Diceros bicornis minor: one gene and its partners. The protein of the gene in region 1 purifies or fractionates together with the protein of each later gene. This does not show direct contact. Links are inferred from orthologs where the notes say so. Each region holds a gene or a part of one and is shown in the gene's direction. Other genes may lie near its edges. The genes, in order: SRC, CDCP1, PDGFRB and CDH1.

The links.
Region 2: the proteins of SRC (region 1) and CDCP1 purify together in Homo sapiens (co-immunoprecipitation; 4 studies listed by BioGRID and IntAct, with this or other methods). This does not show direct contact. The link is inferred for Diceros bicornis minor from reciprocal best matches to the Homo sapiens genes SRC and CDCP1.
Region 3: the proteins of SRC (region 1) and PDGFRB purify together in Homo sapiens (affinity purification with western blotting; 4 studies listed by BioGRID and IntAct, with this or other methods). This does not show direct contact. The link is inferred for Diceros bicornis minor from reciprocal best matches to the Homo sapiens genes SRC and PDGFRB.
Region 4: the proteins of SRC (region 1) and CDH1 purify together in Homo sapiens (affinity purification with western blotting; 5 studies listed by BioGRID and IntAct, with this or other methods). This does not show direct contact. The link is inferred for Diceros bicornis minor from reciprocal best matches to the Homo sapiens genes SRC and CDH1.

What each region holds. Positions count from the first base shown.
Region 1 is NC_080758.1:22,736,474-22,743,396, reverse strand, and holds the start of SRC (proto-oncogene tyrosine-protein kinase Src), read left to right. Parts: upstream 1-3,910; 5' UTR 3,911-4,091; intron 4,092-6,923. UniProt on the Homo sapiens protein: Non-receptor protein tyrosine kinase which is activated following engagement of many different classes of cellular receptors including immune response receptors, integrins and other adhesion receptors, receptor protein tyrosine kinases, G protein-coupled receptors as well as cytokine receptors.
Region 2 is NC_080741.1:46,819,711-46,827,552, reverse strand, and holds the start of CDCP1 (CUB domain-containing protein 1), read left to right. Parts: upstream 1-4,840; 5' UTR 4,841-4,933; coding exon 4,934-5,015; intron 5,016-7,842. UniProt on the Homo sapiens protein: May be involved in cell adhesion and cell matrix association. May play a role in the regulation of anchorage versus migration or proliferation versus differentiation via its phosphorylation.
Region 3 is NC_080740.1:67,175,207-67,183,187, reverse strand, and holds the start of PDGFRB (platelet-derived growth factor receptor beta), read left to right. Parts: upstream 1-4,981; 5' UTR 4,982-5,394; intron 5,395-7,981. UniProt on the Homo sapiens protein: Tyrosine-protein kinase that acts as a cell-surface receptor for homodimeric PDGFB and PDGFD and for heterodimers formed by PDGFA and PDGFB, and plays an essential role in the regulation of embryonic development, cell proliferation, survival, differentiation, chemotaxis and migration.
Region 4 is NC_080771.1:20,367,020-20,374,887, forward strand, and holds the start of CDH1 (cadherin-1), read left to right. Parts: upstream 1-4,866; 5' UTR 4,867-4,958; coding exon 4,959-5,012; intron 5,013-5,876; coding exon 5,877-5,991; intron 5,992-7,868.

The sequences.
Region 1 (6,923 bases):
GTTCCCTCTGCCTGGAATACCCTCTCTGTCCCATTTTCACCTGCCAGCATCCCCGCAGTCTTCTACACTCTCCGTAGACGACCTCCTTCCTTCACCAGCCCCTTTCTCCAACACACATAGTGAATTAGGGCCCCTCCAGTCCCCGGTGCTGGCCCCATCACTCTGCCTAGCACACTGGTCACACTTCCCTGCTCCTCCAGGCTGCGAGCAATTCTAAGGCAGAGACCAGACCTGGTTTGTTCACTGCTGTCCCCCTAGCACCTAGCCCAGACCCTAGCACATAGTAGATGCTCAGTAAATACTGACTGACCCGAGAAAGGAAGAGTAAGGCTTAGCCAGGGGCTGTGGGGTAGACAGCATCCACGCAGAGGGACCAGCAAGTGCAGAGGCCTCTGGGCGGGAATGAGCTGCTGTGACGGAGGGACAGCAAGGATGCGGGCTTGACAAGGAGGGAAGGGGACCAGGGCCTGCAAGACAGGCCTGAGCAGCTGGCAAGGGCCAGATCGGGCTGATGCACTGAGGAACTGGACGTCTCTGTGTAAACTGTAAAGTGCAGTGCCACGGGAGGTGCCAAGCCCATTCCACAGCCTCAAGCTGGAGCCTGCCCCCTCTTCCACCTCATCCTGTAGCCCGAAGTCCAGATCATTCTGTGGCTTCGAATAGACAACTCACAGCAAACCATCTGGTGAATGACAGAGCTGGTCTGGAATTTCCCGCTGGGTGCCTGTGATGGGTCCAGCTCCTCCAAGGTGAGCTGGGCTCAGGGTGGGGTTAGCAAATAGGCCACCATCGAGCCAGAGCCACCAGGGCCCAGGGGTGCGGTGCGGGCAGTGCCTCTGATCCTAGTTCATGGGAAAGCTCTCACCTGTGGGTCTGCTGCCAGTCTTGAGGGGCCAGGCCTCGCCCCACATGCTCCATCCTGCCCTTAGTTGTGGCTTTGACCCAGGTGGGGGGAAGGAGGGAAGAAGAGGTTTCTGGAGACAGACATCTGTGTACAACCAGTGCTCACCATCTCAGCAATGTTGACATCAATAACATCTGTCACCTGTGGGTGCTTTGGGTTGGGAAATTGTGCTTCTCAGTCTTCCAGGCCTGAGACAGGGCTGTGTATACCGTCGGTGGTCAATAAGTTGCTTCCATTAACGACGATGAATGATTTGCAGGCATTAAGCAATGAGTTGCTATTTTACTAACAAACAATGTTTTAAGCAAAATAATGCACAGAGTCCCTTACTTACCCACCGGGCCAGACCAGCAACTCTCGCATCGACATCATCCTGGAGGTTGGTGGGGTTGTGGCCCCACTTTATTGATGAGTAAATTGAGGCTCAGAGAGGGCAGGGTCACACAGTCAATGAACGGAAGAGTTGGAACTTGAACTCTTGTATGTGGATCCCTAATCAGTGTGTTCTCCCCAGCCGACTGGGCAGTGTCTGCTCTGTGCTGGGCACGGGCCAGGCCACAGTCCCTGCCCTAAGGGTGGGGACTGACACACCCTGAAGGGACTTGGGGTGTGCCTCATCAGGAGTTTGTCAGGAAGCATGTCCTGGAGGTGGTGGAATTTACTCAGGGACCTGATGGCCACAGAAGGTTGGGAAGCTAGAGATACGGTGGGAGTTACAGCCTGAGCAATGGCCCAGAGGGGTGGCTGAAAATAACAAACGTTCCCAACCATCGTGCTGGCCACGTCTCCCTGAAGTGCTCGCTGAGAACCTCAGCGGCTAAGCCAAGCCCTCGAAGCCAGTGGTGGCTCCAGGGGGAAGGCTGCACCTTCCAGAGCCAAGACTTGTCCCCGTCGTCCCTGCTCCTCCAAGAGAATGTGTAGGGTACGGATAGTGAGGCCCACACGTGCTGAGCTGGCAGCACCTCATTTCATCCTCATGGGAGCCCTCTGACGGAAGTGCTGTCTTTAGCCCATTTTGCAGGTTGGCAGGCCGAGGCTCAGAGAAATGGCATGCTCAAGGTCACATATCCATGAAGTGGCAGAGATGGGACTTAACCCAGGTCTGTGGGTCCAAAGTCTGTGCTTTTAAGCTCTTTGTCATCCCAGCTCTAGACGTGGCCCAGAACTTTCAGTTGAACTCCTGGGGATGAATCTGGTGATGTGCTGGTAAATATTTAAAAGCCAGCTCTTTGGAAGGAAAAAAAGCCTTGATTTGTAGTGTTTGCTGATTTCCAAGGTGTAAATACTCCTACAGTGGCTGATGTCAAGTTATCAAAGTGACATCATTGATCCGAGAGTTGAGGAGAGATGAACACAGTCTGCTCTTGCAAGTGGTAACAGCCAGCCCCAGCACACCCCTGGGTGAGCAGCCCACCCGGCCCAGTGTGGCCAGGAAAGGCCTTCAGACACGTGTGAGGAGTGAGCGAGGGCTGAGAAATCCGCTCCTCCAGCCTGGGAAGCCATGGTTAATCTTTAAGCCAGCCTTGCCAACAAGTGCAGCCATTTCCCCAGCCCAGGCTGGCTTCTGGTGCTGGCTCTGCCGCTGACTTGCTGTGGGGCTTCAAGCTGCCCCTTCTCCCTCCGGCCTCAGTTTACCACCCGTAAGAGCTACCATTTGTTGGGCACAACCTCAGCCACCCTCACACTTGTCGGGTTTAACCTTCCCAGGAGTCCTCTGTGGCTTGTTCACTCTGTTTCATAGGCAAGGGGACTGGGCTGGGGAAATTGATGGACTCGTACGAGGTGCAGCAGGGGGGCAGCTGGCCTAGATTAGAACCAGATCAGTCCGGCTCAAGGCGGTGCTCACTCCTGGACTCCTGCACGCTGTATTGTACCCTGAGCCTTTGCCTCCCACATTCTAGGGTTCCCCTCCCAGCTCCTCTCAGGAGGAGAAGCCCAGCCTTGTGCCATTTGGCCTGGTTGGGCCTCAGTTTCCCATCTGTGAAATGGAAGAATTTCAGAGAAGGAAAGTGGAGGCAGGTGGTGGTATTTAAAGCTGGATTCAGGCCCACCTTCCCCTGTGCCATAATTCCAGGAGGACAGGTGAAAAGCCAAGGGTGGGGTGCCCGCCCCCAACAGGGCAGCCCCGGAGCCTGGGCCTGGAGGTGGTGGGGTAAGGTGGGGTCAGACAGTGGTGGAGGAGGCTTTGTGGCCTACAGCAGCATTTCCTCCAGGTCATCCCCTTTCTCTGCTATACTCCCTCGCCCCCGCGTCCAGATGTGCTTCGCCTCTTTATTTATATACTTGGAAGTGTAATTGTCACCGAATACCTGCTGCAGTCCCCTCTGAGGCGGGAATATCTGGAACTCTATGACTTCTGATGGGCAGCCTTAGTTATGTGTTTTATACACATTGAAATGAACACATATCTTATTAAAATAAATATTGCTCCTCTCCACATGGTCCCTCCTGCCCCAGTCCCCACTTTGTGAAACTCAGGTCAAGGCCAGAGTCCAAAGCCTGTTTCTTGTAGGTAACCCCTTTCTCTGTGCCACAGTTTCCCAATCTGTAAAATGGAGATAACCATCTGGCCAGCCCAGCTGCTTGTTTGGAATAGATCTTAAAAGTCGACCTGAGCCACTTAGCATGGCGCCTGGCAAGGAGTGAGCGCTCCGTTAGTGCTGGTGTTATTATTATTACTACTACTAATTGCAGGAGAGGTGGATTTGGGGTAAATAGGGTAGGTGGGTTGGGGGGAGTTAGGGAGGGCATTTTGGTTTGAGGGCGGATCGGGGGTCCGCAGGGTGGGGTGCTCTCACGGGGCGGGGTTTCTGTGCCCCAAGCCTCCGCACCCCATCCCCCGCCCCGCCCGGACGCTGGCTCGAGTGTGGGGGGGCCCGCACACGGGTCTCCTCCCGGTCACCGGCGGGGAATTCGTCCCCGCGCGCTTCCTCCTTCCTCCTCCTCCCGGAGGCCTGCCGTGCCCCTCCTCCCGGCGCGCGCGCTCCCTCCCTCCTCTTCCCCTCCCCGGGCCGCCGCCTCCTCCTCCTCCTCCCTTTCTCTCTCGATCTGTCTTTCCCGGCCCGGAATCCATTCCGGCCTGGGAGCCGGAGCGGCCAGGCCGCCGTCTGCCAGACCCCCTGGCCGTCCGGCGGGCCGCCCTCCCGTGCGTCTGTCTGCCGGTGCGCCCGCCCGCCCGTCGGCCCAGGTGAGCGCCCCCCGCCCCTCCGCGGGCGCCGAGTCCCCGCCGGCCTGGGGGAGCCCCCGCGCGGGGCCCCCCCCCCCCGGCCTCGGATCGCCGGGCCGCGGGGGCTCCGTGCACCCTCCGACCCGCACCCCCGGCCGAGCCGCGAGCCCGGAGCGCTGGGCGGGCGCACGGGGACGTGCCCGGCGCGGCCTTTTGTTGTGATGCCGCGGGAGGAGGGGGCTGGGCGGGGGCGCAGGGGTCTGTCGGCGCGGGGACCCCCTCCGGCTCACCCTCCCGCTGCGAGCCCCCTGAGAAGCAGCGAGCCGGGCCCGAGCCCCCGGCCAGCACTAGGCCAAATCTGATATCTGAGCCGGTCGGCGCCGCCTCTGGCCGCGGCTGCCCGGCCTGGCGCCCCGGCCCGGCATGGGAGGTGGAGGGGGGCCGACAGGGTGGGTCTGGGGGTACCTGGCTGGGGGCGCCCGGCCAGGCACCAGGCCCACCCTGTCCTCGTGGGGCTTCGACTAGGGCCTGGTGCCGCCGGCCTGGAAGGGACTGGGCCAGACGCTGCATGGTCCCCGCTGCCTACAGCCCCCAGCCTCGCTTCTGGGCAGGCCCAGCCGCCTGCCTGCTCAGAAGTTGGCAAAAGTTTTGGGCCCTCACCACCAAGCCCGGTCCATCTGCCTGCCTGGGCTGGGGTTGCAGTGGGTTTGAATCTCAACAGGACCACCACTTGCCCTGCTGTGTGTCCTCGGACAACTGCCTGCTCTCTCTGAGCTGGAGGTCCTCATCAGTGGCAGGTGGGCCTGGCTGGGATTACTGGGCTGGTGGAAGGATGGGCATGAAGAGAAAGGGCTCACCTGTGGGGTACCAGTTCAGCCTCTGGGGTCTCCAGGCTGACTTGAGAGTGGACAGACCATGTGTGTGTGGGCCTGGGTGAGAGCCTCAGGGACTCTGTACAATGGGGGCAGTGGTCCCTGTGTCCCCTGGGGGGAGGCCAGGCCCAGCCACAGTGCAGCTGAGGTCAGACTTGGTTTCAGTGGGCCAGGCTGGCTCTGTAGCTGACCCTCTTCTCAGCCCTCTGGCTGGGGAGACAGGACACCTAGGCTTCTCGTCTCACTGGGCGACCTGGGCCAAGGGACTGCCCTCTGAGTCTGCATATGTGGAATGGGAATCCTCAGGGGAGGAATCTGTGTGTTTTGGCTTGGTATGTAGTAGGTGCTCAATAAATGAGCGCTTCCCTGGATGAATTGCCTGAACGGGTGGAGGCGAGGTTGCTGGCCTAGTGGGGCTCATCTCCAGGAGAGGGTGGATTTGTGCCTGAAAAGCCGCCTCTTGAGAAAGAATAACCCCTTGAGAAAGAGACCACGCTGGCACAGGCCTGCCACCCAGCAGCTGTGTGAGCTCAGGCAGCTCACTGTTCCCTCTGGCCTTCGTTTCGTTAAGTGTAAAATGGGCCCGTGGTAATGACAGCTGCTGACCTCTACTGAGCGCCTCCTCTGAGGTAGGGGCTCTTGTTTATCCTCATTTTGCTGATGGAGAAACTGAGGCACAGAGAGGTGAAGTGACTGCCCCGAGGCCACACAGTTTGAAGCTGGAATCAGAACCTGGACCTTGGAGCCCCCCGTCTGGCTGCCCTCGACCCCTTCCAGGGGTGATAGAGGAGCAGGCGTTTCTCAGGACAAGACCAGGCACACGGCAGTGTCGGAAAAGACTACCCCGATGAGTGATCGCGTGGAGCCACGAGGCCCATTTGGTGAGATGGTGATGTGGTCTTTCCACCCAAGGAAGTGATTTACAGTGTGTCACCTCTCTCAGCTGACTGCCTGCCCAGGCCCTCCTGTGTGGCCCCTGGGCCTTTGCTCCTGAAGATGTCCCTGCCGGAGTGTCCTCTCATGTAGGAGCTGCTTATCTGCTCTTGTTCTTTAAGATTTAGTTTAAGGCCCACCTCTTCCAGGAAGGCCCCCCAGCTCTCTCCTCCTCTCCCCTAGCCTCTTCCTGGAGCATGAATTATCCCCAGCTCACAGCCAGTTTCTGCTTTTGCTTCTTCCCTGATGGTGACCTCGGGGGCCAGGGGTTGTCTGGCTCCTCCAAGCCCCAGGATCCAGGGAGGAGATGGCTCCATGACATGCCGACAGAACCCCCAACCCCCTGGTCCTCAATTGACCCCATTTCCCCAAACCTGCCTAAATGCAAGCCTCCGTGACCTTGTATTGAGCACTTACTGTGTCCTAGGAGCTTTGAACTCAGGCCAGCAGTGTGGTGATGGGGTGAGCAGTGGGAGCTGTGGGGAGGCATCCGGAGGCTTCCAGGAGGTGGTGCTGAGGGGGGGCAGCAGTTTGCTCAACAAAGGAGGGACGAGAGTGCTCTCTCTTCCCTTCTGTTCAGACACTTCCCTGGGGTTGTGGGGAGTGGTCAGCCTGGGTGGGTCCTTGCAGAGGAATGGTGAACGTCCCTGGCCTTCCAGAAGTTTGAGTCTAGAGGGTGAGCCAAGTAGCAAACAAGTTGCCAAATAAATGAATATATAATCGCAGATGTGATAAGGGCTCAGAGGGAGAGGCGTGGGATGCAGAGGAATCTTGAAGGAAGCACGTAGGAGTTGGCCAGGCATGGAGCTAGGGGCAGGGCTTACCAGGCAGAGGGGATGGCATGTGCAAAGGCCCTGAGGTGGGGAGTGTGTGCTGTTGTGGAGGAACAATGGGAAAGCCTGTGAATCTGGAGCACAGAGAATTAGGGGGAGGGGGTGAGAGGTGAAATGAGGGGTGTTCACAGCAGGGCTGGACCCTGTGGGCTGTGTGGGCCTTGGGGAGGAGTTTGGCCTTCATCTTCACACAAGGGGCTGATTAGTGTCCGCTC
Region 2 (7,842 bases), on another chromosome or scaffold:
AAAGGAGCAAGGCCAGAAGTGGTATCACATTATGAACTTGTTCTGGAGTGCCCAACCGGAAGTGTGTGCACAGTGGAGGAGGAGGAATCAAGTCTGATTATACAGAGCCAGAAGCTAGTCTGTAGAAAATTCTTCCAATTAGCAAAACTAAAATTTTAAGCAGAACATTTGGTTCTCTTCATGCCTTATCAAAAATGAAGCATTTTTGGGCCGGCCCTGTGGCTTAGCGGTCAAGTGCGGGCGCTCCGCTGCTGGTGGCCTGGGTTCGGATCCCGAGCGCGCAGTGACACACCGCTTCTCCAGCCACGCTGAGGCTGCGTCCCACATACAGCAACTAGAAGGATGTGCAGCTATAACATACAACTATCTACTGGGGCTTTGGGGGAAAATTAAATAAATTAAAAAAAAATTTTTTTTAAATGAAGCATTTTTTTCTGTCAGAAATAAATGGATAACGCAGCATGTAAAATTATCAATGTACCATATTATTTTGTTCTTTGTATTTAATAGGAATCACACAAATAGAATTTGTAAGAATTCCTGTATTTGTAGGGCACGACACTACGGTGTTTCTATGAACAGCGAGTATTTCTGTGTGTGAATTCACAGTTTTATGCATCCCAACAAATCAAGATTGCATCTCAGCGTATCTGATGCATCTTGTCATGATGAAGTCTGGCAGTTCCAGAAGAAATAGCACACACATTGATGAAGCAAAATGACCCGAAGAAATGATAAAGAGCTGCACCAGTGAGTTAATAGTAAAGATATCATGCTATTTTTCTGGATTTTGTGACATTTTTCAATTTTTTCAAGTTTGTAATTTGTTGTGATTTCTTGCCCTATTCTGAATAAATAATCATTTTCATACCTGAATTTCTATCTGCAACTCTGTATTCTTTTTCTTAAGGTGATTAATTTCAGCCCCACAAACCTGTATCCACTCCTCTCTGTGTTTCACGCATTTCTTGTTTTAATGGAACACATCCTCCAGTATTTTCCTGAGAAAATGTGTGCAGGAATTTGTGGTTTTTGTTTTAGATCTTGGATGTCTAAAAGTACCCTTTTTCTACCTTATCACTTAAATGGTAGATTGGTTGGGTATAGAATTCTAAGTTGGATGTAATTTTCCTTCAGAATTTTGAAGATATTGCTTCATTGTCTTCCAGCTTCTAGTGTTGCTATTGACAAATCCAAAGCCATTTTGATTTTTGTTCCTTTGCATGAGACCCATGTCTTGCCTCTGGATGCTAAAGAATCTTCTCTTTGTTCATAGGTTTCTGAAATTTCACATCATGTGCCTCAATGTAAGCCTATTTTATCCACCGTGCCGGACACTCCATGAGTCTTGAAATCTGGAAACTCATGTCATTTGGGCCTGGGGAATTTCTTGAATTATATCACTGATGATGTCTTTCTGTTTCATCTGCTATCTCTTCTAGGAAACCCATTATTCAGATATTGGATCTCCTGAACTGGACCCCAATTTTCTTAACTTTTCTCTCCTATTTTTTATCTCTTTGTGTTTTTGCTTTACTTTCTGGGAAGTATTCCAACCCTTCTATATATATACATACATATTTTATATCTAGAAACATTTTTTAAACTTCCAAGAACTCTTTTGTGGTTCCTTGAATATTCATTTTTTATAACATCCTTTTCCCGTTTCATAGATGTAATATTGTCTGCTGTCTAAGGAAGTTAGTAATTGTTTTTTTTTTTTTGCTCTGTTTTGGTTTCTCCTGCTTATATTGTCTTTTTCCTCGAGGTTTCTTATTTCTGTCTAGTTAATTGGTTGATTTTGACTCTTCTCTGTTAGAAGCTTTCCTTAGAAGTCTTGAAATCCTGATTGTCTCGTCATATTCAAAAGTGAGAGATTAAAAAGCTGAGTTGGTGGGGCTTACCAACTGGGAGACTCATGGTAGGGATCTGGTTAGCCTGTTGATGGGGATAAATGTCTATATCTTTAGGTCTTTCCTCTTGGGCTGGTCAGATTCCCCAGAAGGAGATTCTTTCCAACTCCAGCACATATGGTAAAGCCTTCTCTGTTGCATTCCGAGAAGCAAGTTGGGGCAGGCAACTGAGGAGCTCAGCGTTCACAATGCCTATGTTCCCTTTATCTACTTATTTTTCAGGATGTTTCCAGGCACTTAACTGTGCCTGGCACTTCTCAGCCCAGATCCCTCGGTTTTAACCTCTCCAGAAAACAGCGCTTCAGACTTCTGCTGGAGTGAAGGAGGGGCAGTTCCCCAGCCAGGGGGAATGGAGGGAAGGTTCTAACAATAGTATTTTTAGATCTAACAATAGTATTTTTCAAACAGCTTTTTCCCAGGCTTCCTTGTTTTCACTTCTCCTTCACCCTCCTGTCTCAGAATATCTTGTGCTGCTAGTTCCTGAGGGTTATTTGTGTGTGTGTTGTTGTTGTTTTGTTGTTGTTTTTACAATTCCACAGTATAAATCATGCAATATCTCAATTTTCCCCACTCCTGGATTAGGGTTCTGCTGTCTCCAGGCTCCTAAGGCAGTTACCACTTGTCCACCTGCTTTCCAGCTTCCAAGAGGATTTTGCTGTTGTCTTCTCTCTGTTCTCCCCATCTTAGTACGCTTATGCCTTTTTTTTAAATCTCTGTTTTGTAGCTTTTGTAGGGTTTCTGGAGGGGTAAAAATTAGATGGAACAGTGTGTTTTAAAACTCACCCTTCAATCTGTCATTTTTCTCTGGCAACAGACTATAGCTGCCCGGATTTTTTCCACTTCAGAAATAACCTTTTAAAATTGACTCCTTCCATTCAGCCATGTTTGAAAGACGAAACACTTCCATACCTTGGCAATGCTTTGCTCACACTCGACTCCAAGAACCAAGACATTACCTCACGACATCTTGACTTCAACTGTGTAGCTGGGTTGTCATGCAAAGGATGCTGATATGCCTCCCTACTTTTTTCATTTCTTTCTCTTTGCTGCGTTGTCTGGGACCATCACCAATCCTTCACATTTGAGAATTTTTGACTCTCATGTCATTTACAGAAAGTTAGTTTCACAATCTCAGGGAGGCGAGTTAAGCAAACTTTGGAGAAATGAGACAGTAATAAAATAACTTGTTCCCTAGGCTTAAACCATCAAGCAGTATTTCTGATATTTTCAATTCAACACACTGCCACTCTATTATTATTATTATTATTATTATTATTATCATCATTATATGTGGGAAATAATCGTACTATGGATGCTAGGAAAAGATGTCGGCATATATATGCCCTCTTAGAACTAAGAAAACAGATGAAATCTGCTTTCACTCTCCTGGTAAGCGTAAACATTTTTAAAGGACGTTTAGATTTTCTCAAGATTTCTTTCTCTTAATGAATTTGCCTTCAATTCTGTGGGGAGAACAAAGAACCTCTCTATTTTTCTCATTCTCTTCCTTTCCCCTAGGCCTCAGTTTCTCCATCTATCTGTCTGATGAGGGAAGTAGGCTAGAAAATAAACTCTGAGGTCCCCTACAGCTCATAGTCCAAGCTTTCCCACAGGTAGAGATGTGGGTGGGGTCAGGACCCAGTATGGACATCTCTGTTTCCCTCACAGACTGTGGCCTCCCTGAGGGCAGAATTTGCTTTATTCTCATCCTCGAAGACACACAGAAGAAAGGGGATGAACCCCCTAAGAGAGGATTTCTCACGCCTGTTCATTCTGAGAGTAGGGGCAGCCTGGAGAGGCTCAGTGCTCCCAAGAATTAATCAGAAGTTGGGGCTGGACTGAAGACTGATGCCCTTGCATGTGCTCTGGTTCCTGTCCCAGTCCTCCTAGGTTGTTCTAGGTGACCCTGGCCCAGCCTCTGGCTGCGCACTGCACAGATAGCCCCAGGGGGCGCGTGGAGTCATTTTGGCAGAACCCTGGTCTGCCGGCTGAGAGTCCGTGAACCGTCCACTGCCTCTCCTCGTGGCCCTGTGACCCTGGACTTGGTGTGTGGCCTACAGGTGGAAGGAGAACCCACAGGACCCTGGAAGCCAGGGAAAGGCGGCACACCGCAGCTGGGAGGAGAGAAAGGAGCCTAGCGCCATTGTTTTTACAGCCCAACGATTGACGTGAATGCCTCCCGCCCATACGGCACATACTACTCCACTCACAATTCAAGAAGGGAGTCCTTGTGGACCTGTTTAGGTTTCTTCTCTCAGTCCTTTCCTGCCTTATGCGTTCATTCACTCACTCATCCCTTCTTCAAAAATTTAACAAAGCAACTCCATTTGTAGAAAACCCTTCCCGTGCTGCTAAATCCTATCTCTAAATTAACTCGCCTGGCAACCTTGGGCAGGTTGCGCAACTCAGCAAGTCTGTTTACAGTCATCTGTAACGTGGAAGGATTGCTGTGAGCATTAGGACTACTGCAGGTGAAGCGCCCGGAGCAGGCTGCAGGCTCACAGTCCTGCAAAGAGTAGCTGCAGCGCCTGCTTTCAAGTCCAGTGAGCCTCCCGCCCAACTCAGGTAGCAGAGAGAGCACAGACGAGGCAGCCAGGGCTTGGGTGATCCGCAAGTATGATTCCCGTGCAAAATGCGGCGCATAGGGGCCTCCTTTTCCTGGACGGGGAAAGGAAGGCGAATTGGCTTCCCCAGGGGCCTTCGAGCCTTTAGACAAGAAGACCGGATTACTCTCAGCCTGGTGAGGGAGGACAGGCCCAGGATGGTGTCAACAAGTCCCAGCACCCTGGCCGGGAGAGGCGGGTGCTGAAGCAGGAAGAGGAGGAGAGGGGAGGGGACAGGCCGGGCCAGCTCGTACTCCCGCGGCGCAGGGCGGAGCTCGGGCCGGTCCGCCCGCACACAGGTGAGCGAGCCGGGGAGGAGCGCAGCGCAGCCAGTGTCAGGCTTGGGCGCCCGTGGCCGCCGCTCCGTGCCACGGGCCACAGTCGCTTTCCCCGCCGAGGCCGAGGCGCCCCGGAGCCATGGCCCACCTGAACTGCGGGGTCACAATCGCACTGCTGGGGGTCCTGCTGCTGGGCGCCGCCTTCCTGCCGCTCGGAGTAGGTGAGTGCGGTGCTGCGGAAGCGGGTGGCGCCGAGTGGTCAAGATGGCCCGCGAGCCGGCGCCAGGCGGAGGGGTGGGGTAGGGACGCAAGGTGCGGAGGGTGCAGAGTGGGGGACGGCGGCGGCGCAGTCGGGATGACGGATGGCGCGGGGTCCCCGGGACCGCCCGGCTCCCGGGCGCGCCGCGTTAGGCGCAGTGGCCTTACCCTCCAGGATTCCGAGCGACCTCGCCGTGGGCGCAGGCTGCGGCACGCGGGAGTGTCCCCGAGCGGGGAGCCCCGTGGTCGGGGGGAATGAGCGCGGCGCCCACCGAGGAGGAGGAAACAGCGCGCCGAAACCGATCCTGCTCGAAGTGGCGCGCCGCGCACTCGGGGGCTTTACTTGGATTCTTGGGGGCCCCCGGGTAGGGCGTGGAGAGGGAACTTTCCTCTCTGGCCCACCCTGTACCTCCTCGCCTGGACCAGGGAGAAGGTGCCGGAAAATAGCGGTTTGGCGCCCCGATATCCCATCCCTTTTCTCCTGTCCGCACGCTCCATTCTCGCTCTCCTGAAATTCAGGGACATTAATTTGAAATTGAAAGCGCCAGGTAGGAGAAGGCCGCCGGGCATCTGCGCCGCGGAGCCTGTACATCCCCCCGCCCCTCGCATCTCTGTGCAGTGGACTTGGACGGCAGAAGCGGGTTGGCAGAGGCGGACGTTCTGTAGATGTGTGTGAATTTCGAGTTGTTCCGGTTGGGGGAGGGACAGCCACATCCCAGCTGCTTGTGTCTGCAAGGAGGTGCCCTGCGGGCCCTGCAAGTAATAGAACAGAGAAATAACCTGGTTTCTTCAAATAAGAACTTGATTCGAGGCCTTTCCTGAAACTAGCACAGGTTTTGTGTTTTTTTAAGAGCTATCCAGGAAGAGATTTGGGTCTTTGATTACCCTTTGCTACACCTAAGGGGACCTGTATTTGGCAGGTAGAGAAATTAGGATAAATTAAATTGAGGAATAAAACTAAGCGGGTGAGGTGAACTTGGGCAATCCAACAACTGCCATCATTACAAATCCGAGACAGGAAAGCTTCCTGGTTCCTTTCTCCAACAGCATCAGGTGACTTCTTGCTGCACAGTAGGTGGAACATTGCAAGACCTCATTTAAAATATTGTGTGCTTGGGGGCTGGCCCAGTGTCATAGCAGTTAAGTTCACAGGTTCTGATCCCGGGCACAGACTTACGCACCACCTATCAAGCCATGCTGTGGTGGTGTCCCACATAAAGTAGAGGAAGATGAGCATGGATGTTAGCCCAGGGCCAACCTTCCTCAGCAAAAAAAGAGGAGGATTGGCATGGGATGTTAGCTCAGGGCTAATCTTCCTCACAAAAAAAGAAAAAAATATATTGTGTGCATATTTATTGTAATTTAGGACTGAGTTTTCAAGATTCCCTTTGAAGGAAAAAATCAGTTTAAGAATAAAGAGTAATTTAGTTAATGAAAATGTGTGTAAATGTGTGTTTGAGAAAAATGTGTGCCCACCACACTTGGGAGCTATACTGGAACTCTGGGAATGTTTTCGATGTTTCCGGTTGTTTGTGATAATGGTTGAGAACTCTTCCAGTAAGAATATGGTGTAAATCAAGGCATTACGAATGACAGCAATGACAGCCTGTCCTGAACTGGCTTGTGTTACATGTCTGATTTCTCCCTGTGGCCTGAAGAGGCTGTCCTTTTGGTCTCCAGTAGCTCCAATGGAGTTCCTTCCTTCCAGGAAGTTCTTGACTGTCAGAGCTACGTCTCATGGTTCTGTGTATAAATAGGAGGAAGCCTAGGAATTCTCCTATTTCACGTTCTTAAATCCTTCCTATGGTCTCAGAAACTGGTCCTGTGAGGTCACATTGCCAGGCTGCACTGAGGGCTATGCCTTTGTGGTAGGAACTGTTGCCAAGTACATCTGCTTTGCCTAAAGTTGTGGGGTTGGTCTAACCAAGGGGGGCCTTTGAGAAGTTACTAGAGTCTGTCCTGAAAGGATAGAGAAAGCCAGAGAGAGCCCTGGCCCAGAGGATTTGTTTTATAATCCCTGAACTCTCTTAACAAAGGCTCGGCAGAGTGGAAATGAAGTTGGTGTCCCTGCAGAGCCGAGAGTAAAGGAAAGCTCCCATCTTGGCGTGGTGTGTTCGTGTGAGTTCATAGTTCCACCAGCTCCCCACTTCCAGGGGTGAAGGACTGGTGAAACTGGAAGCAGAGACTTGCTAAAACCTCAACCTAGTGGCTTTCCAAGGACCACTCAGATACCAGAGTCTGGGTCAGTGACCCCATTCTTGCTGCCATTGTTCTTGCCAGAAATGTGAGCAGACGTCAAAGGACGCGTTCACTCACCCTGGGTGACTGTTGCCTTCATCATTCTTCCGATTCAAATGAGGAGCTGCTGGCTGTTGTCTGGAATGTGTAACTGGCAGGGCTGATGATCCCTCTCCCTCCCCCACCCCCTCACAGATTTCTGACTTGGAGTCAGAGACGGCTGCTCTGCTGGTAATAGAGATGTGTTCGGGTGCCGGCTTGTCAGCCTCAGGATTCACCTCATATACTGCCGTACCATCTATGATGACTGTACAAACGCTCTTCTAGGAGTTCTCCCAGGCTTCAGTGTGGGGCAAGGAAGTTGAAAACAATAATTAAATTGTTTTAAGTAATATATAGTCGTAGAAAAATTGACAATAAATATAACCAAAATGGAAAACAGTCGCCTGTGAGCAAACCACCTTTGTCATTTTGCTGCACAGTCTTCTCATTGTATGTGTTTGTTGTGTGTGTGTTGTGTGTGTGTGTGTTGTGTGTGTGTGTTGTATGTGT
Region 3 (7,981 bases), on another chromosome or scaffold:
CCCGCTCCCTGTTGGATGCGTTCTGCAGCTTCTCGGATGGATGGGGGGTGGGGAGGGCAGTCGGCCATGGTCTACTACAACAGCCTCCATATTCGCCCCCTGCCTCTCCTCATGCCCCCATTAGCCATCCTCCACAGTGCCCCACAGTGATCTGATCTCATCAGTCTCCTGCTTAAAATCCTTCAGTTCCCCCGCCCCCCTGACCCTCAGGATAAAAGCCAGAGTCCTCTCAGGCCCACAAGGCCCTGATGCCTGGCCCCTGACTACCTCTCCAGCGTATATCCGACCAGTCCTCTCTCTGCACCTCAACCATTCTTTTCTTTCTCTTCAAACACACCAAGCTTTTGCACATGCTGTTCCCTCTGCCTAGAACACTGTTCCCGCCCCTGCATTGAGTGTGGCCTCTTAACCTCAGGTCTCAGCTGAAATATTTCTTCCCCAGAGAAGCCTTAATCTACCAAAACAAGAATCCTACCTACATAGCCCATTATTCTCTCTCTTTCATCACAATTTTATATTATTAATTTGTGGTTTCCTTGGTGTTTGCTTGTGAGCTGTATGAGGCCAGGGCACATAGTAGGTGCTTAGTTAACTTCTGTGTGGTGGCTACATGGTGGGAGGAGCAGGACAGCCTGGGAGTCAAAGTTAAAGGCCCCTTTCCAGACCTACTGTGTGCCCTCAAGCAGGTTCTGGCCTTCTCTGGGACCCACTGTGTCCAGTGAGGAGAAGATACGTGGCCTCTGGGGGCCCTGCTGTTCTGATGACCCTTGAGCCATCTGTGTGTACCAGAAGGACACACCCTTGTTCCCTGGGGCACTGAGACTGAGGCCAGCTGGAGGCTGGGGAGGGGCTGAGGCGGGCAGGGTCTTGAAGCCCTTATCTCCTGCGACCTTGTCAGGCCTTGGTGGCCTCGGTCTGGCCCAGTAAAAGCAGTCCTGCAATCTAGAGTGAGAATGTGGCCCGAAGCCCCCACTGGTCCCTCTGCCCAACCAGACAGCCACCATGCTGAATGTCCAGGAGGGGAAGGGGCAGTTCCCACTGCAGGCCCCTTCTGGCTCCCCAGATGCAGGCACAAGGTCCTACCTGCTCAGGGTGCGCAGAGTGGAAGGACACTGAGCTGGGGGTCAGGAGTCCTGCATTCCAGGCCCTTTCTCTCTCTGCTAACCTCTGACAGGTCTTCTCTGCTCTCTGAGCCTCAGTTTCTGTGCCTGTACAATGGACTCACTCCTAGGACTCATCTGGCCCTGACATCCAAGATGACTGTGCCGATGCCTGGGACGTGTGTGTTGCTTCGTCGCCCCAGGCCGGGCGGGGGGGAGGCGAGGCAGCGCTGGGAGCGTGGGAGAGCCAGATGTGGTAGCCGCTGGCCCTGCCTGAATGAGTGCTGAGCCAGCCTACTGGGAATTCTCCTACTCAGGCGCCCTTTCCGGACCCCCTCCCCCGCCCCACTGAGAGCTGTGGCTTCCGGCTCAGCTAGGCTCTGATGAGCTGAGCGTGGGTGGGGGTCTGTGGAGGGGGGCAGTTCAGCCTGGTTCCCTCCTCCAGGGAAGAACACGGGCCTAAGAGTCTGGACAAAGCCTCCGTTCCAGTCCTGGTCTTACATGTCACAAAGCCTGGTACAGTCACATTCCATCACAGGGCCTCAGTCATCTCAGCTGTAAAATGAGCTGTCGGAGGATCTTCCCTCCAGTCCTGATGGTGAACTTCTGTGACAGCAGCGCCCGGTGACACCTAAGAATCAGTCACCTTTCTTGGAGCTGTCTCGCTCTGCTCTAGTCCTTGTACAAAACACCTCCTGTGCATCACTTATTTGGGCCTCTCCAAACAACTCTGTGAAGGAGGCGGCTGTATCCCCATTTTACAGCTGAAAACACCGAGGCTCTTTGAGCTCGGATAATGTAATCTGTCCAGGGTCACACAGCTGGGAAGTGGCAGAGCTGGGTTGGAAGTGCTGACATCAAAGCTCAGACTCTTAATCCTTGAGCAGGCCACCACGCAGTGGGGAGGGGAAGTGCTGAACCCCACTGCCCAGAGCTGCTCTCTCCCTCTGCACCCCACCCCACTCTACCTCAGGCAGGACTCCCCATGCTCCACGCTCTGCCTGTCCAATCTCAGCCTAGCCTCCCCCAAGACAGGTGTGTCCGAGGCTGGCCTGGGCTCCCAGCATCTGGCCAGGTGGGAGACTGCTCACGGCTCATCCTGTCCACAGTGGGCTGGGGGCCATGCTGACCATGCCAGCCTGACGGGGCTGCACTGTCCACATGCACTGCCCACTGCCCACCCCTTCAGAGTGCACAGGGGAAACTGAGGTCCAGAGAAGGGAGAGCTCAGCCCAGGGGCACACAGTGACGGGTTGCAGCTGGTATGAGAGAAAATCACTATTTCAATAATAACACTTCCAGACACTGTACTAAGCCCTTTAAGTGCATTACAAATCACAACAGTCTTTCGAGTCATTCCTCAAATTATCTCCATTTTCCAGAAGAGGAAACTGAGGCTCAGGAGTTCAAGTGACTTGCCCAAGATCATGCAGCTTGAAACTGCAGAAGCTAGCATTTGAACCCAGCTCTGTCTCTGGCTCTGGAACCTGCCCTGTCAATCGTGACACTTCCGCCTCAACTGTCCAGCCCTCGGGGAGTGCCCTGTGGTGTCTCACGTGGCTCTGTGTCCCCCAACCCCATCTCAGCTGAGAAGAGCCTTAACAGCCCTGCTGCCTGCCAAGGGTTAATGGTGGTAGGGGCTAAGTGATTCCAGATGGGCCAGCCGGACGGCTGGGCTGGCCGGAAACTGGCGGCCGCCGGCTTCCCGGGGGAGCCACCGGCAGCCGCCCCCTCCCCTCTGTGCTGCATCTCTGGCCCCCAGCTGTCCCCTTGCCCTGGGGCCCACCAGCCTCCTCTCCCTAGCCAGAGTCCAACTCTAAGGAACTTGTAGACAGAGCATCCCGAGCGCCTTCCAGCTCAGTGAGTCCACCCCTGTTATGTACAGATGGGGAAACTGAGGCTCAGAGAGGACAAGATACCTATCCAAGACCAACCAACAAGTCCACAGCTGGGGTTCCTGACTCCCGGCCTAGCTTTCTTGGGGCTGCGGGTTGAGATGCCGCCTTGCTTCCCCTGAGTTGTCCTGGTCCCTGCAGTTGGGCCAAGGCTTTGGAGGTAAACGGCTGAGGCAAATGCTAGAAGGGGAGTTGTACAGACTGATGGAGTCTCTGGGCACAAGAAATCCCTGTGCAGGCCTGACCCTGTGGTCTCTGGAGTCCCCCTGTATTCCCCTCTGACCCAGCTGCCACCAAGCTGGGCCAGGCCCCCTCTCTTGGGAGGCTCTCACGGCCCCCACCCCATGGCCTGGAGCCAGTCTGAGAACCCTTCTCCCTCTGTGTGGCCCAGGCCAGATGCTCTGCTGGGCAGTCCCCACTGGGACAAGACCAAGAAATGACCACCAGATAGGTTCCTGTGGGTGGCATGAAATCCCAGCTCAAGCAAAGCCCCCGCCCCATGAACAGGAGCCCAGGGTGAGGCCTGGGAGAAGGGATAGACAGAGGTGCAGAGGGCAGGACAGAAGGAGCCCTGGACAGAGTCACGCTCTACCTGTGTGACCCGGGACACCTTTCTCCCCCTCTCTGGGACTCAATTTCCCCATGTGTGCAGTAGTGGGGGCAGGAGGTGACTGCCTAAGCCCTTTTAGTCAACTTCCTAAGCCCTTTTATAATGATGGCCTTCGCATCTAAGGGCCAGGAGATTGTGACTAGAGACAGCTTCTGATCTGAGGAAACGAGGGTAGAAGAAGCCAGGTCACGAGAGGCCCCGCCGACGTCCTGGAAGAGCCTTGCAGCCCCTAGTGGGGAGGAGGCCCGGAGGCTGGAAGTGGAACATAACAGGTACTCGAAAATATCTGTTGAGTGACTGAATGAGAAACGGGGACAGGGATAACCTAGGTAGAAGGTAGGACAGGAGTGCCAGTCTACACTGCAGTGTGGGTCAGGTCCCCGTGTCTGTTCCATCATGTAACTCGTGGGACCTGATTCTGCTCGAGTTCTGCCATTGCTGTGCGAGCTCATTTCACTCTGCTGGGCTTCACATTCCTCATCGATATATAAATGGGGAAGTAACCACAGCCCTACTCCAGGGCTTTGAGATGACAGAAAGGAATATGTCTGGAATCTGAAGTGTGCTGGGTGACCTTGGGCAAGTCTCTTTCCCTCTCTGCACCAAGTCACCCCTTGGCCTTGGTTTCTTCTTCTGAGAAGTGACCGATCATCTTGGAAGGTCTTTCCGTCTCTTCCAAGTCACCTCTTCTCAGGTGCCCTTTCTGATTCCCTCCAGCCTCAGTTAGGTGCCCCTCCAGATGCGCTCTGAGCCCCCCTGCCCTCCCTTGGGGTACCCAACTGTCCATTGTCTGTCTCTTTCACTAGCCTGGGCACCCCTGAGGTCAGGGACTGTGTCTTACTTACTACTGTGTCCCCATCACTCAGCGCAGTGTCTGGCACATCGTAGGCGATCGACATGCTTGTTCAATGAATGAGTGTTGACTGAATCAGCCGTATAGCTTATCAGAGCTCCCTTTGTAGATGGGGAAACTGAGGCACACAGAAAGGACTCGCCCCCAGGTGCCATGGCAAGGGGAGGCTGCCACCCGAGACAGGCATCAGGCGAGTGGGGCCGGGCCACTCTTTAATAAAAGTGACTCAGCGGCTGGCGTGGGCCGCGGAATTTCTAAACATCCCCTCACATCCTGAAGGAGCAGCGATGGGAGGGAGCAAGCAGAGGGAAAAGAGGAAGAAAAACAAGAAACTTGGGGAAAAGAAAGAGGGGGGAAAAAACTGAAATTGAAAACAGACGCACGCGTCCAACCTCCCCGCCCCACCGCCCCCCTTCTCCCAGCTGAGCCAATCAGAGGCCATCCTTCAGCCTTTCCCCCAAGGTGGGGGGGCAGGGAAGCCCACAGTGGTGTGAGCTCCTGGGGCTGCCAGCGGCCGCAGTCCCTGCCCGCCCCGTCTGGGACCCAGGATTGCTCTGTGAGCAACTTGGAGCCAGGGAGGAGGAGGAGGAGGACCAGGAGAGGGCCAGGCCCCTCTGACCAGCGCCCGGCAGCAGCCTTCGCCCTGCGACACAGACAGCCAGACCCAGGGCGGCCCCTCCTGGCAGCCCTGCTCCTCCCGAAGGATGCTTTGGGAGTGAGGCCACTCCTTACCCCTGTAGCCCCCCACTCCCTCCATTTTCCTGAGGCTCCGGGAGCCTGCAGCGGCCTTCCCTGCCCTCCTACCCAGCTGCGGCCCCCTTTCGGGTCCAGCAAAGTCTTTCTGATAAAGGGAGAGGGCCGTGAGGAGGACTTCCTGGAGGGGGTGACAGCCCAGAGCCCAGGACAGTGCCCATACCAGAAGGCATCAGCAGCAAGGTAAGTGCTGGGAGAGTGGGGAACCCCAACCCCTTGTCCTGTCCCCTGGCCCCAGCCTGCGCCTTCTTGAATAGGTCAAAAAATGGAAAATACTTTTAACAAAACCAGATGGGAGGAGGCCGGGAGGCTGCGGGCGACATCAGGGCTAGAGGAGCCAGTTCTTTCCTCTCTCTTGCTCAGGCTGCTTCTGGGGTGGGTGGCCCCGGCCTCCTCAACCTTGCTGCCCCCTGCCCTCACCAAACAAACCCCAGAGGTTTCCGGGTGTCGACTGGGGGCCTCCAAAGCACAGCACTGCCTGCGGGAGGTGGGGAGAGCTGGGAGGGGTATGAGAAGGGAATTGGGAGATGGCAAGCAGCGTACACAGAACGGGGACCTACCAAGGGACAGGACCTCAGAGGCATAGCCCCTGTCCATGGGCCCAAGTCTTGTCCCTAAGAATCTGTCTGGCTCTGGGCCAGTCGGCCGCCAGGCAACCTCTGGGGATTTAAAAGATTTGCAAATTTTCCAGATTCCTAAGATGTCCTTCAAACCCCCAGCGGCTGGGAAAGTGTGAAGGAGAGGGGGCCCTGGTGGTGGCAGGCCCATCCTAGCAGTTATGGTCATGCAGCCGGGGCTGGGGGTCTGGGGCCCGGCCATCAATCTGATGGCCCCTCTGTGGAGCAGCGGGGTCGGCTGCTGGCCCTTTCCTCTGGTCCCAGGCAGTGCTCAGGCCCCCTCTCTCTCTCCCTCCTGCCAGACACTGCCCCTTCTCCATCCTAAAACACGAATCTGATCACGATTCCTTCCGTGATTCTCCCCTGTAGAAAGCCCAAAGCCCTAACAGCGGCTGCCACTGATTGAGACTCACTGCCTGCCAGGGCTGCGCGGAGTGCTTTGTAAGCATGATCTCATGTAACGCTGGCCAGCAACTCCAGGGGCAGAGACTGATTTTACACACAAGGAAACTGAAGCTCACAGCGGCCACAAAACTGTAGCTAGTAAGTGGCAGAGCTCGGGGAGATAGTAAGCTCCGTGCCCCATCACTCCAAACTTGGGCCCTGTGTTCCTGCCAGTCAGATCCCAGGATTCCCAGAAGGAATTTGCAAGATCCTGCCTGTGGGCCTGCCCTTCCTCATCACTTCCACTTTTTCTTCAAGGACCCTCCCTTCTCCACCTCCTCCAGGCAGCTTCTCAGATGCTTCCAGTCTTCCAAGTGCTTGCTGTGCCCTTCGCACTGGAGCCTTGTTGCCTGGCCCTCTCTTCCTGTTTGTGTTCTGTTTTGCACATCGGAGATCATTCAGGACCCAGGCTTCCCCACCTGTATTCTGTCCCCAGTGTCCCTGGCAGGCAGTGGGGCTGAGAAAATGTGCTGTTGAAAGGGAGGAGGGACTCACTGAAGACCTCCTCTTCCCAGATGAGACCAGAGCCCAGGCCCCCTGTCTTCCCTCAGGTGCCCTTCCAGAACATCATGCAGCTCCTCCAGACTGCATTTTTCTCTGTCAGACAAGGAGGGGTGTCCCTGCCTGCCTCTGTGATTCCAAAGTGCACAGAGGCCTCTGCGAGCTCTTCTAAAGCCACAAGCAGGAGGGCCCTGAGTCCACAGCACTCGGGGACATGAGGACCATGCTGGTCACCGTCGTTGAGTGCTTACCCCATGCCAGGCTCAGGCCCTGTAATCCCCACAGCAGGTCTTTGGAATGGGTATTACTACCCCTGTTTGGCAGACAAGGAACCCGGGGCTGAGAGAGGCTAAGAGAATTTCCTAGGGTCACACAGTTAGTAGAGTTGGTGTTTAGGCCACGATCTGCCTGAATCCAAACACTTAACTCTCTCGCTACCCAGGGAGCTCCTGGTGAGAGGGGAGAGAGTCTCCATCCTCCCATGGAGCCTGCTCCTGGCTCCAGCACCTTCCATGGCGGAAAGTTCAGCTCCAGGCCTGACCTGCTCCCAGGTCCACCTGGGCCCTGGTTTGGTCCTGAGTGGGGAAGGAGACCATCTGGTCAGCACCCTCCCTTCAGCAGTGATCAGGCAGCGCTCCCTCCTCTGTGGGAAGAAGAGCTGCGACTTGTAATTGCCCACAGATGTGGGGCAGCGGAAAGCACCGTGGATTCAGAGTCAGGAGACCCGGCGCTCGCCCTGGCTCAGCTCAAATCCATGTGTGGCCAACCTCAGGCCCCCGTGTCCTCTTTTTGGGCTGCGTCTACATCTGGAAGGCAGTGGGCACCATGGGTAAACAACACCAGGTTTGGGCATCGGATGACCATGGATTTACCCCATTTGGCTTCTGGCTGACTGTGTGACTCTGGAGTTCAGTCCCCTCCTCTGTGAGCAGCAGGGCGGTATGTAGGCTCCAGGAGGTAACAGTATAGGTAAGGTACACAGTTCCTGCGCTTCACGGGGCTGGACCTAATGCCATTGGCTATGAGAGGGCTGCTGCTCTCCCCGCCTCCTGCACAGGACAACTTGGCTGTGAAATTAGTCTGCAACCCGCAGAGGGCTATCCCCATGGAAGGGACCTGGACAGCATGGGTATTCTAAAGGCCCACTTCCGTCCTCCAGGCACTGTCCGGCTCGGAGACCAGCTGCCTTCTGGGCAGAAGGAGGAGTC
Region 4 (7,868 bases), on another chromosome or scaffold:
ACTTGTTAGTACATGAGCCCCCAGATTTCCTTTTTCTGCCTAGGCACTTGTGTTTCTGACATTTACAACCCAAAGTGACCAATATAAATGCCGAGACACAGCATGTTACAGGGGAAAGAGCACTGGGTGGGGAGTCTTAAGGCTTGGATTTGACTTAAGGTTCCACTATTTATTAGATCTTGAAACCTTCCCTGTATTTCAGTCCCTTCAACTGAGAAATAGAAATGGCATCACTGCCTATAAAACGTTTTGGTGGGAAATCAAATGAGCATGGATGGGAAAGTGCTTTGTAATCTGTAAAGTGCTTTGCAAACTCTAAAGCTCCATATACAAGTGGGCAGCCTCTGTTGCACGTGGTATTCAATGGAGAAGGTGATCTAGAAGGGAGCAGTTCCATTTATGCCATGTCCAACCTGCTGCGTGACATCTGACAGGTGTTTGAACCTCCCTGAAACTTGGTTCTTGTCTTCGGAAAAGTGGATTCCTGGTGTCTCCCGGGGGATTTGCAAACTGGATCACGTGACTCCCCTGATCTTAATTAAAATCCTGCAATGGTTCCCCATTGCTCTGAGGACACAGTCCAAGCTGATGACCATGATTAACACAGCCCCCCGCAACACTCTCCTCACCTGTTGGGTCTAACCTGCCTCTCCTCCAGCTAGACTGAACTACCTAAAGTGCTAAGCCCTCTTCTCTGGGCTTTTCCCCAGGTGGTAACCTCTGCCAGGAACACTCTGGCTAACTCAACCTAGATGTCACTTCCCCCAAGAAGCCCTCTCTGAGCCCCTTGCGCCTCCACATCACTTGCCTTGTTGATCTTAAATCATTATCACTAGGGCTGGTCTCCAACCAGGGTCACTGATATCACTCTAGGTTCTAGTTGCTGAAATATTGTGTTGAAATTTTTCCACATCATTTGGGAATCAGCGACTTCCCTCAGTCTCTCAGAGTGCTCCCCACACCTGCAGCCCCTCCCACACCCCTCCAGATCTCCCCACCACCCAGCAACCAGAGGGTAAAGCCTGGCACAGCAGGGGGCCTGGGACTCCACCCCCACCCCCACCCCCACCCCAGCATTCACGGCTGGTGTTCATTTTGGTTGGCCTGGTGCCCGGGTTCTACCAGTTGTTAAATATGAATATCATTGTTGCTTATTGCCCTGGATCATAAATACCTGGTTCCCTTGTCTGTTTATTCACCAGACTGAAAGCTCCTTGAGGGCAGGGAGGGCCTCCCTCACCAGCAAAGCGCTTGGCATGTGCTAGGTGCAATGAGGGTTTACTGAATGAATGAATGGATGAGTGAGTGAATGAATGAGTGTGTCCTGAAAAGTTGGAGAGTCACTCTAGAAAATGATGGGCCCCACATCCTCGGTCTGGACTCTGGAGTTTTCTTCCAGGCCTGCAATGGAAACCTTGCACTTTGCCCAGGTTTTATGGCTCCGCAGGTCTCCACCCCTGCCTGTGGAAGCTCCCTCCACCTGCCCCAGTCTGGCTCCAGCACGGCCAGCTTCACCTTTCCCTCCTGCAAAACTTGAGAAGTGTGGAACCTGGAAAGACCAAGACGCACCCCTTTCATGAGCCGGTGAGTAGGCGAGCACACGCGTGTACAACACACACACAGGAATGGACAGTCAATCAGTGCTCACTAACTAGTCCTGGTTTACCCAGAACTTTCCAGGTTTAGCACTAAAGTCCCACACTCCAGGACCCCTCTCTGTCCTGGGCAGACGGGACAGTTGGTCATCCTAGCACTGGGTTGGTTAGGTCATTCTTCTTGGACAGTGGAGGGAGCGGTGGCCTTCAGGACTGATTTCTCTGTTGCAGGTACTGAGCACAGGGCCTGGCACACAGTGGGTTTGCCACAGCTCTGCCACTTACTGGCTGTGGAAGACCACTTCACCTCTCGGTTTCCTCAAGAGGGGACAGGACAGTATCTTCCTCATAGAGGTGCGTGAGTTAACAAAAGGAAAAGTGCCTGGGTCTAGCACCTGGAACAGAGTGAGTGTTACATAAATTAGAGCCATTATTGTTGTTGTTGTCGTTATGATTATAAATTATATATGTGCATGGAAGAAAGGTCTCTAGAGGGTCCAGCCCAGTAGCATACTGGTTACGTTTGCACGGTCTGCTTTGGCGGCCCAGGGTTCCCCACAGGCCTGGATCCCAGGTGTGGAACTAGGCACTGCTCATCAAGCCATGCTGTGGCAGGCATCCCACATATAACATAGAGGAAGATGGCACAGATGTTAGCTCAGGGCCAGTCTTCCTCACACACACAAAAAAGAGAGGTCTCTAGATTTTTCTGTGTGTGAAACAAACAAAAACAGTAGGAGGTATAGGGCTACAAAAGTCACCCCTCTACTAAGCCTGCTCTTAGCGAGACAGCCCCCCACTTAAAAAAGAAAACAGTTTTATTCTGACAAAATTCATAAGCCACACAATTCACCTATTTAAAGCATTAATTTCAATGTTTTTTATTTTTTTGTGTGAGGAAGATCAGCTCTGAGCTAACATCCATGCCAATCCTCCTCTTTTTGCTGAGGAAGACCGGCCCTGAGCGGGCAGGCCTTCACGATCCACTCCCTGCAGCTTGGAGAAGGACTTGCCGAGAAGTCTGGAGAGAGCATTGTGCCGGACCTGTCCTCACTGCCCCTAATTGTTTTCTAAAATCCTTCTTATTGAGTTATCAGAGTGTAATGGAAGAGTCGATGAAAGTTGCCGCGGAGCTACAAGGCCAGGGCTTGCTGGGGGGAGGAAAGCAAAGCCCTAAAGGCTCCCTGGGCTGAGCGAAGATATAAAATATGTATTTTTACATAACTGGGAGGAAAAAATAAACGGACAAGGCAGCCCCACGGGGGAGACGCCTCTTTCTGTATTTCCATTATCTTGTTTAATGCACAGTCCGGCAGGAGCCTCAGTGGGAAAGGAAATACTGGAGCCTTTTCCCTCTGAGCCTCCTGGTGGGTTAAGAGACAGAGAGCCAAGATGCAGAAATCAAATGGCCTGGGCATGTGCTCAGAAACCCATTAAGCCTGAGGGGACAGGTTGGGGGTGGGAGGGGGCTGACCCAAAACAGTGTTTTGGTTTGAGACAACGCCTTTCCTCTGGGGTTGAGAAAGTAGCCACAATGGGCTCAGACTCACCTTTAGCTCTGGGTGAAATATTCTAAACATGGCCTTCCCCATGAGGAAGGAGGAAAGGCAGTGGTTCTTTCCAAAGAACAACCTCCACAACATTTACTGAGCAGTTGCTAGTAGGCGTCAACTACTCTGTTTAGTGATTTTCTTGCATTAGCTCCTATCAACCCATTTATATAGGTAAGAACACTGACTAGCCCAAGGTCACACAGCTAGTGAGCAGCTGACTCCACACACTGTTTTGTAGTTCTGATCACGCTTGAAGGGGGAAGGGAAAGATGGTGTCCTTATCAGGGTAGCCAACCACAAAGAAGGGGCTGGCCCCTGGCAGTCAGACAGGGAAACTGTCTAACCTAACATTTGCATGTCTATTCCTTTTTTGATCCTAAAATTATTTTACTGGGGACAGAATTCTCTAGAGAGGGTGGTGGTGGCTGTGGTGTGGTGTTAGGAGCCCCAGTCTGGGGATCAGGAATCTCAGGTTCTAGTCTTGGCTTTGAGGTTGACTTCCATGTGACATTGAAAGAGTTATTTGCAAAGAACAGGTTTGGGTGATCTCGAAAGGGTCTCTTCCAGATCTTCATTAAAGAACAGATTGAAAACTGCAGCTCCAGCTGGAAGACTATCTGAGGCCGCATGAGGTGAAGCTAATAGAACAAAGGGCTCTGGAATCAGAGGGAGATGAGTTCCAGTCCTCCCCCCACCTCCTACTGGCCTCAAATTCTTTTTTTTTTTTTCCTGAGGAAGATCAGCCCTGAGCTAATGTCCATGCCAATCCTCTTTTTGCTGAGGAAGACCAGCCCTGAGCTAACATCTATTGCCAATCCTCCTCCTTTTTTTCCCTTTTTCTCCCCAAAGCCCCAGTAGATAGTTGTATGTCATAGTTGCACATCCTTCTGGTTGCCGTATGTGGGACGTGGCCTCAGCATGGCCAGAGAAGCGGTGCGTCGGTGCGCACCCGGGATCCGAACCAGGGCCGCCAGTAGCGGAGCGGGCGCACTCAACCGCTAAGCCACGGGGCCAACTCCCAGGCCTCAAATTCTTTATGCCTTAGTTGCCTAACAAAAGGGAATAATAACAAAGCCCTTGGGTTGTTTGGAGATGAGTTTAACTGAGATGGTCAATGTCAAATGCTTAGCACAGAGCCTGGCACTGTAACTTTCAATGCCCCAGCACCTATTATTACTATTTTTATCCCTCACATCCATACAGAGCTTTTATATTGCAGGAAACACTGGTCTTATTAATTGTGTGGCAACCTCACAACAACAGAGGGAGGCGTTTGTGATTATTATTCTCATTTGGAAGGTGGAGAAACTGAGGCTTCAAAAGGTGGGTGCTACCCAGTGATCTGATTTGCAAACTCACTAACCGATGGAGACCTGCAGTTAAAGAGACAGAACTCAATTAAGCGGAAGTCCTTTCGGACCCCGGGTGTTAGTGAACCACCGCGAGGCTGGGATTCGAACCTGGTGGTAATCGCAATCGGGGAGCCCCTACACCCTACCTCGACCCTGCCAACCACCGGCCAGCGAGTCACCGGGTCGGCGCGAGGCAGGGGGGCGGATCGTGGGCGGGCCGTCCGCCCTCTGTCGAGGAAGCTGAGGCCATGGCCGTTTATTGGCTGCAGCCGGCAGGTGCACCTTCAGCCAATCAGCGGGGCTGGGGGCGGGGCCTTCGAGGCTCACCTGGCGGCCGCGGCGCTGCCCGGCTCAGTGGCGTCGGGAGTCGCGGAGCACCTGTGAGTTCGCGGAAGTCCTGCTAGATTCTAGCCCGGCCCAGCCTGGCCAGAGCCGACCTGACCCTCGCCCGGCCCACCATGGGCCCTCCGTGCCGCAGCCTCTCTGCGCTCCTACTGTTGCTGCTGCTGCAGGTACGTCGGGTCCCCGGACTGCAGGAGACGCCTTCCAGCCTCACCAACCGCGCCCCGGCCCCGCGTCCCTTCCCCTCCTCTCTCGTCGTCCCTTCGTCTCTCTCGTCGTTCCCTCTTCCACTAAGAAAGTTTGGGTCCAAAGGGCCTAAACGGCCTGGAAGCTGCGCCGCGCTCTGGACTCCCGGGAGATGGGGGTGGGAGCAGGTGAAGGGCGAGCGCGGCTCTGCCCACTCCAGCCCGCAGACACCGAGGGGGCGCGCGCCTCGCTGCAGGCGCTGGGACTCCGGTTCGCCGCGGTGTGGCGGGGAGCGGGCAGCGGGGGCTGTGGAGCAGGGTAGGGGTAGGGATATGGAAGGGGAGCCCCGGCGCAAGTCAAGGGGGAGCCAGGAGTAGTGGGTTCGATCCCTGAGGTAAGGAAAGGGAACCAATAGATAATAAAGGCACCTGCCATGTAAAGAAAGGGTAGTAAGTAGGTATGGGGGTGCCCCTGGGGTAGGAAAGTGGGGTCCAAAGGGGTTGGAGCGCCCCTCGGTATGAGGAACTAGACTTAGGAGTGAGAACGTTCCCGGTATGAGGAAAGTGGAGTTGGGAAGAGTAAAGATGCCTCCGTGAAATTGTAAAGGAGACAGGAGAGGTGCTAGGTCGGGAGGAGGTGACCAGCAGCCCCCTCTCCTGGAAGGGCCTGGGGTCCTGGCGGCCGCAGGTTTCGGAATGAAAGAGTTTGGCGTGGCTGCCTGCCCCGGGGGTGGGTCCTTCCCACAGTCCTGACGCCGGGAGCGAGGGAGGGGCGGCGCTGTTGGTTTCGATGTGGGCAGGAAGGGACCCCCCAACTCACCCCGGTTCCATACCTTTTCCCTACCCCAGGTCTCATCGTGGCTCTGCCAGGAGCCGGAGCCCTGCCGTCCCGGCTTTGGTGCCCAGAGCTACACGTTCACGGTGCCCCGGCGGCACTTGGAGACGGGCCGAGTCCTGGGCAGAGGTGAGGGCGCGCCGGCGGTGTGCTGAGCCGGGTGGGTTGGGGTAGGAGTGGAAAGTGTCCAAGAAATTGCGCTCCCACGGCCCTAGACTGAACTGGGCAAGCCCTCCTTCTCTGGCTCAAATGACACCCCTTTGAAATTTACACAGATGTAAGGATCTGAACTTTTACCCTGATTGAGCACTGTGGTTGAGGGGCTATCCTCGTATGGTTATGTTATAAGGGGGGGAGCACTTATTAGAGGCCTTCAGTGTGTCTCATAGTGTCCTGACCACTTTAGAGACAGTCTGTCATTTCAGACTGCAAAAACCTGATGTGTGAGAAGGGAGCAGTAATTCCTGTTTTACGGATGAGCAAATGGAGGCTCAGAGGGTGGAGTCCACTTGCCCAGGGTCAGCAGAACAGGAATTTGAACTAGGATCTGACTCCCAGGCCCCATTCTGCACCATCTCTGGGATGACTGAGGATCCCTCTCTTGGTTACCAGGCTGTGGCTATTACTCACAGAGATGAAAACATTTTGATACAGGTACTATTCCCTCAAGGAATAATGGTTTAAAAAAAAAAAAAGCCTGGTAGCTCTGACTCAGGTTATGAAAACGCACACAACGTAATTCTGGGCCTTATCACTGTGATCATCAGGATTTGAGAGCTTGCTCTGTTTCACTTTTCAGTGGCCCAGGAGTGAGAGCAAGGGAAAGTTAGTTTCTCTTCTGGCTTCACTGATTCCCAGGTGCTTATTTCCTACCAGGCGACTTTCTCCTCCCTCTTGATTTTAGTTGGTTGGGCAAGTTTCATAACAGTAAAAGAAACACTTTTTAAAATGAGAAATCACCCACAATTCCTCTGAGGGAATTCACCGAGTTTATTCCTCCAGTCTTTGGCCACGTGAAAAATTTGCAGCAATCATGCTGTTGTCTGAAATTCTTTTTTGAACTTTGGAAGTTGTTCCAACAGTGGGCGGGATTTTTTCTTAACAGAAACTGCAGCTTGATTGATTAAACATATTTACTTTTCTGAGGCCCGTCTGTGTTGTGTAGAGCTTTCTATTGGGTCAGGTAGGAAGTGTTGTCTGCCTGATTTTGCAGTAAGTCCGCCATTACTTGGCCAGTTCTCTGCTTGATATTCTGCCTGACTCTGTGCTGGGCACCTGGGAATGAACTGAGGAGATACAGGGGCACTCCAGCCCAGCTCTTGGTATTTCACATTCCAGCAGGTTGCTGGGAGTGTCCCAGGACCCACTTAGAGGGCACTGTGGGACGTGAACATTTAGGTGCCAAGAGTGTGGGTGGCCTGGGATGTTTTGATGGGTATCAGTGGGCAGTGAGGACTGGTTTCTGAGAGGAGGCAAAGCTGACCCAGCCTTGAGGAGCAGGTGAGGGTTAGAAAGGGAGTGTGTGCCTGTGTGTGAGGTGTCCCAACACAAGTGCTGGTCATTTTGTTTTCCTGCACCAAGATATTTGCTAGTGCCAAGGGAGGGTTAGTCTGGTTTTTATTCCTCTCCCCAAGCTCTTATGTCTGACCGCTAACAACATTATTACATGCTAGTAATAATATAAATATTATCATTATTATTAGCAGTGGCATCTATTATTTGCTTTTTAACCAGACTCTGGGGCAAAATGTTTCACATATTTTACCTCATTTAATCTTCCCAAGAACCTTATTATTTCTATTTTGTGGGTGGGGAAACTGAAGCATAAAGCAATTTAGTAATCTGCTCAGGGATCCACAGCTGGTCCTTCTCCTGTTCTCTCCGCTTCTCAATAATTCAATAATCAATCAAGAAAACAGGGTGTTTGGGGAATTGGTGTCCATTGTGAAGTAGACGTCGTGGTCCCTGTGTGCCTGGGAGAGGAGAGGTGTTGATAGAGCAGGACC